Linked DNA regions of Kluyveromyces lactis. The protein of the gene in region 2 interacts with the protein of the main gene of each other region in a pairwise test. Links are inferred from orthologs where the notes say so. Each region holds a gene or a part of one and is shown on either strand. Other genes may lie near its edges.

Region 1 (3,279 bases), on a different chromosome or scaffold from region 2:
TCACTTAATTGACGGAAAACAATATGAATATTATAAACAACTGAACCAAAGACTTTATAAAAAAAGGCTTGAACGATTCTTGGGCTTGAAAGCAGAGTTACCAACGACAAACCCATTTACCGAAGAGAAAAATTTAGGTGCTTTGCTTGTTAAATGGAGGTTCCTTAGACCAGATCAATTAGTGAAAGTTAAATCGTAAATAAAACTATTTTATGTATGACTATATAATGCAGGATTGTCCATATATTTTGAGTTATAGAGTCAAAATGCTCTACCTCAAATATGTTTGTACTTGTCATCATTCTGTCATTTCATCTATCTCGTCCTAAATCTCCAATGATATTTGGCTCGTTGATCTCTACGATCTTAATATCAGCTAACATGTCACTGATATCCCTTTCCATTTCCTCTCTACTATCATCGTCCGCGAGTTTCAAATCAGTCATACCACGAATCATCTGCTTAACATCAGACTCTCTAGCTAGTACTTCTTCGAGCAATTGTATCTCACTAGGTGGCTCATAATCGTCAAGATGTACACCGACCCTAGCAAACAAAGCCTCGTCTGAGAGCTGAAACTGGTAAAACTGTGAACATCTAAAATGAGCCTTAGTACAGTATTCTGTAAGGTATGCATATGGGTTATTTTGTCTTAAGAAATTGGTCATCTGTACATCTGCGAAGGGATCACGTACTCTCGCCTGGCTTTTGCTACAGAGTGGATATCCACAACGCTTCACCAAGTTCCTTTCTTGGACTAGATCCGCATAATCCTGTTTGGTAAGGAACCTTGAAATGTATTTCATCGTCCTTGCATCTTTCACGTCTTTTGTAATCAATAAGTCTATTAAATTGATACTTATAGTTTCCACTTCCCTTATGGTCAATTGTCGATGGTTTGTATAGGGTTTTAATACAACCTCTTTGATTTCTTCAATGGTAGCCATTGCTATAGTCTAATTATTTTGGTAAATTATTTCACGGTCGTAGTTGGTCAAGCAGCTGTATGAGGTCCCTTATTCATGTGCTTTTCTTAAGTTTACCTTCTTTACTTTGGCACTATCAACCCTTCGATGTGATTTAAGCAAGGACTTTATTTTAATTCAATGTAGATCGAATTCGAGCAGACAACAACAACAGAAGAAAGAAATATCCATGACGAAGTAAGGTCCTTAGCACTAACCGGTCAGTTGTGCCTCAACAAATGAGTTCACAGGATTCTGAAGCCCACCTCAAAAGGCGAAAGGCGAGGTCTAAGGAAAGCAGTTCTGGTGCTGGGAGAAGGGTATCGGTTGAACAAGACGTGAATACGGTGTCATCATCGATAAAGAACTTTATATACCAGGAGATTCTTCCCCAAACAGCCAAGGTATTCGAAGAGGAACCATGTGATCAGAGTGAGAAGTCTGTTGAATATGATCTGGAGCAGATTGCGAACATACTGAGGGTACCATTCCAAGTCGAGCAATTCTTTGTCTTTGCGATATTGACTTGTTTGAACTGCTTCTTGTATTACTTTACCATTATACCACTTAGGGTATTCCATGTATTAGTGGTGAAACGAGATGGTCCTAAAAGAATACGACAAGAGCTTCTTACTACTGCGATGATTCTTGGACCCTGTTCGATATTGAATGTCCTTGACACCTCAAGAATATATCATAAAATTAAGGGCCAAAATGCTATTAAACTATACATGATATTTCAGGTTCTTGAGATGACAGAAAAGCTCTTATCAAGTGTTGGCCTTGATCTATATTCAATTATCATGCTCAAGAAGAGTGCCAAACATAAGACAGAGATGGTAATGCTATATATTGCATGTTGTTTATGTTTAAGTTTCCACGCGTTGATATACATCTACCAGATTCTTGCCATGAACGTTGCGGTAAACTCGTATTCTAACTCCTTATGGACGCTACTGTTGTCAATGCAGTTTTCAGAGTTAAAATCTGCAGTTTTCAAGAGAATTGATAAAGAAGGATTGTTCCAATTGACTATGGCTGACGTCGTGGAAAGATTCCAGTTGATCGTATTTCTAACGGTCATTGCAGTGAGAAACTTTATCGTAGCAAGAAAGAGCTTGCGCGATGTTTTACCACACTCATGGAATGTTCATTCTACACAGTCCTTGATAGTTGGTATATTTATAGGGCCGATTGTCACAGTAATTGGAAGTGAATTGATAGTGGATTGGATCAAGCACGCATATATTATCAAATTCAACAGAATCAGAGCGCATATCTATGAAAGGTATTTGCAAATTCTTTCCAAGGACAACCTATCCAACAGTATCCAATTCCAAAAGAGGTTAGGTTTGCCGTTCCCGCCACTAATAGTAGCCTTCCTAGTACTGGTATGGCCTGCCATCAGGCAAACGATCAAGAATAATATCATCTGGTCCACTGTTCTGATAATATTTGGATTCCTATGGGCTCTACTCACAAAGCTAACACTTCAAGCAATACTGTTGAGATGGACGTTACATATCCAAAACAAACAAGCCAGCTTGCACCCAGATCCTTTGTATATCAATGGCCATCTCTCTGCTGGAAGAGGAATGATGGATGAGGATGCCCGCAAAATGACACACTCTAGCCAGACAAGAACTTATTCACCAACAATTACACCACCAGGATCGCCAAAACTCGCTGCTTTTGAAAAGAAGGCAAGCATCCCACCTAGCCTCAACGAGCAAAGAACCAAGAGAGATCTGAAGCATCCTAAATCGCTAGAGTCCGTTGAAAGATACAAGATGGTATCAAAGAGGATTTGGTAATATTTAGGTGCCTTAAGCAAAGGGCATAGCAAAATGTAGTGATTATACAGCAATATATAGACCGAGCATAGCAAGATTAAATAAGAATTATCAGAATTTGATGCATGCTGATGTTAACTTCGGCTCCGTCTCCTCTTTCCAACCTTAAATAGTGTATCATCTCTACACTACATAATGGATATTATATAACATTTAATATGACGCACTTTTTGCTATTAAGAGCAAGCATGAAGCAATAAGAGCAGAACTTTGTATATAAACGGCGATCCTAATGGCTAACAAATTGTCAAGTCGCTGAGTGTGTTATTTCCAAGAGTTAAGATGTTCCGCAACTCGAATACCCTAAGAACGCTAAACCTATTAAGAAAGATGTCTTCTAAAATTGAGAACGATTATTTGATACAAACCAAGGCCTTTATCAACGGTAAATGGACAGAAACTGACGACAAGTTTGCTGTAACCAATCCCTCCACCGGTGATACGATCCGTGAGGTTACGAA
Region 2 (3,618 bases):
ATGGTGGGCTTGGAGCTGTGCCAACAAGGCCCTATTCGTGATGAGCTTCCGCTAAAAATTTATCAGAGTGTTTTACTTCCGAGTTCTGATGAACTAAAGGAAGAGATTCTCAAAAATAACGAACTACATGGCTCAAGCCGTTCAGCGTCGTCTACGGAAATAACATCTCCTTGGACCCCTGCTTCGGTATTTTCAGCGAAAAGAAGTCTTTCTGATGCATCATCTATAGATAACGAATTAGATTTAGTGGACGTTCCAAGGGCTAAAGATGCCCGAGCACTCAGATTACCGACACCACTACGAAAGTGTGTATCTTCAGATTTTGCTCCGAACATTTAAAGAATATCTTACCTTACAATTTTGAATAGTCGATAGAAAACGTGTAAAATATATACGGTTAAATCAGTTCTCCTTTAACAAATGATATCCTTGAATTTGTCTATGACTAAGATCTTTGCTCTCATCTGTTCTGCGCATTCACATTTTGAGAACAATTTGACTCTAAAATCAAAGATCTCTCCAGAATTATAGGTATGCTATAAAAGCTATAGAACAATACAGACAGAACATATTATTTGGCAGGTATTACGATGCTGTCCTCATCTTCAAATTCAGAGTCGGAAGATATAGGTGAGTAATGAGCAGCTTCCGTGTACGGATGGCCTTTTGTTTCTGACACAGATCTTTTTATATTATTTTTGAGCTTTTGAAGTGAAGAGTTGTCGGTATACCAACCATCATCAACCATTTCTTCTTCAAAATAGGATTCTCTAGTCAGGGAAATATATATTATCGACGAAATTAGACCGAAAAGGATTAAATACATAACTCGAGCTTGGTGTTGATATGCATTTTCGAGTTCCTCAACTTTATTCGTCGTTGTTGAGATAAATTTATCCGTAGCCAATCTTTGTTCTTCAATAATTTTAATTGAACTTTCTCTAAGCTGCAAAGCGAATTGATTAAGGTTCTCCAGATTCGAGGTCATAGTTTCGTTGAATGCTTTAACCAATGCTTCAAATTGTTGACTATATGAATCTTCTAATTTATCGAAGGATTTCGATAATAATTTGCTTTGTTCCTCGATATAAAGAATAGACATAGTGCCGTTAGTTTCAAGACCTGAAAGCCGTTTCATAATATTCTTGAAGATTGATTCTTCGGTATTTATCGGGATAAATGAAGATGAATCTTTTGCTTGAGTGATATTTTCATTGTCCTTATAACCAGTGAAAAATTCATCAAAATTCATGTGCTTTAAGGATGCTAAACACTGATGGTTGATGTCTAGGTCAAAGTTTATTGACATGTTATTAGTTAAGAATGAACTTGGTATCATGCACTTTTCTTTTTCCTCCGCCAGTTTTTGCTCAATTGAGACCACTTCTTCGAGTTTCTCGCCTGCGTTTTGGACTTCCATTTTGAATTCATCAATCATTGCAATACCATGAGCCCTAATGAGAGTGATTGGGCAATAAAACTCCTCTCCGTAATGAGATAAAACTTCAACTCTCAAATATCTTGCCCAGATCATTGGGTTCGTAATTGTAAACTGTTGAGTATTACGAATATTCTCAGCTTCAAATTCTCCAAGAACCTTCCAGCCATTTTTTGGTACAGGGAATCGTTCTGCCACGGAGAATCTAACATTTTTGAACGTACTAGAAAAGAACTCAAAGTTAGCCATCACAATGCTTTCAATTAAGATATCCTCACATAACTCAACCACAAAAAACTTATTCGGAACGGAGCATGGGTTTAGAAGTGATTTGTCCTTGTTTTCGAAAAGAATAGAGACAGCTCCTTGTGCTTCTGAATTCGTTTTTATGATTGTTGCTGCGCAATCAACCGATGCATAGTTAAATTTATCCTTGTAGATTTTCCCTTCGGGCTCATCATCATTAAAAATCTCAAAGTCCATTTCTAGTTCGTCTCTTATAACATCACCGTTATTGTTATTATGAAATAATGAACGTTTTGGTCTCTCTTGTTGTGCTAATTTGTTTTGTCGCAGTTTCTCTTTATTCCACTCATTGAAAGATTTAAAGACTGAACTGTCTTTGCCTTGAGTAGCTAAAGGCACATTCCTTATGGTTGATGACATAGACACTTGTAAAGGTCTGCTTTTGTTTGAATTCTTCGTAGCTAAAGCCGTCGTGACTTTCAACGGTTTGGGTCTTTCAAATACATCAGTTGCAGATGAAAATAGTACACTATCTCCCTCACAATTCACCCCAAGAAATAGCACCAAAAGAAATACTAGATATCTCATGTATTATACTGGTTCATTGCTAGCTTAAACTAGGGTGCTATTCCATTTGTGTAACTCATCTGAGTATGTTGTTCGTCCAATGTTGGTTTAATAAAATGAATAAAGATACAGTTGACTGCATACTGCAAATAAAAAGACAAGATTATGTTACCCGGTATTATATTCAAAAACTCTGACTATTTCGGCATACGTCATACATAGACACAAATAATCCAAACGTTAAATATAAGTTAGCGAAGGTGTACATGCAGAATTCACAATATTTTATTATGTCTTACATTAATGTAATCATTTTTTGTTTGCCGGAACTTTCAATTTTATAGAAAGGGTTCTTCTATTTGATTTTAGTATCGATACGTTAGGGTTGTGCGGTAGTGATGAAATATGTACCGAATTTGTTTTAGTGGAAATCTTGAGGAATCTGATGGGCAACGTCCCTACTTTCGTCACAGTACCTTTAACAGATGATGGCTTCTTTTTTGCTTTTGCTGCTACAGCAGGCATACTTGGTTTGGAAGTTGACTTCTTCGGTATTGTAATTTTTATTGTGGTGGGTGGATGTTTTGGTTCCACAATTGCTGGTTTCAGTGGTGCAAGATGAACTTTGAGTATTCCTTCACGTTTTATGACTACAGTGTTGTTGCCGATATTCTTGCAAACGAGCTTTTTATCCCTTGGGACTGGCAAAATAACGTTGTATGCATCGTACAGTTGGTATATCACATTAGCTATATCGAAAAGCCTCTTCCGTTGATATACGTTTATCAATGGGGAATGCAGCACGTCCCACATTATCATTTTGAGAGGTTCATAATCCTTGAACTTTTGTCTTGTTAGCGTTATCATACCATTGATAGATGATCTCAACTGTTTTTCCCTTCTATGGGCAACTTCTTTGGTGAAATCTTCAACAACAATCGATGCTACTGTGGTGGGGTCAGTGGGGCATATCTCGTTCATCATGTAATCAATATCGTCTTCAATCTCAGATATGCTATTCTTAGAGGATATAAGATCAATTGCACCAGCGAAGGTATCAACTAACTTTGTCCTTATATATACATCAGGGTGGAAACAAAGCGTTTCGAAATAATACTTCAAAACTTCCTTATTCTTGATCCCTCCTATAACTAGCAAAATTTTGAGAGCCTGTAAAGCAATGTCTTGCAGTCCTTCTCTTGCGTGGCAGATTACAGGATGGTCAGTTGTTGGTTGGTCCAACATGGTTGAGCTTAGAAGTTCATTGTAATCTTCATAGTGATAAAGACCATGTACTGCCAATTTCAGTCGTTGTTTTTGGATTGTCTTAGTGGTCAAAAATTGATAAGAAGACATCCATTGATCTA

What was found. The genes of interacting proteins can lie anywhere in the genome.
Region 1: the proteins of SLP1 (region 2) and EMP65 interact in binary tests that used the Saccharomyces cerevisiae proteins (3 or more experiments, as listed by UniProt). The link is inferred for Kluyveromyces lactis from reciprocal best matches to the Saccharomyces cerevisiae genes SLP1 and EMP65.

Annotation. Positions count from the first base shown.
Region 1 is NC_006042.1:1,171,732-1,175,010, reverse strand, and holds EMP65 (Emp65p), read left to right. Parts: upstream 1-1,204; coding exon 1,205-2,779; downstream 2,780-3,279. Other genes in the region: RRG1 (Rrg1p), read left to right, coding at 1-199; RNA polymerase II subunit B1 CTD phosphatase RTR1, read right to left, coding at 312-947; KLLA0_F12628g (NAD-dependent succinate-semialdehyde dehydrogenase), read left to right, coding at 3,101-3,279. UniProt on the Saccharomyces cerevisiae protein: May be involved in membrane protein folding.
Region 2 is NC_006039.1:181,629-185,246, reverse strand, and holds SLP1 (Slp1p), read right to left. Parts: upstream 2,273-3,618; coding exon 572-2,272; downstream 1-571. Other genes in the region: KLLA0_C02233g (uncharacterized protein), read left to right, coding at 1-339; transcription initiation factor TFIID subunit TAF2, read right to left, coding at 2,561-3,618. UniProt on the Saccharomyces cerevisiae protein: May be involved in membrane protein folding. Required for localization of MPS3 to the nuclear envelope.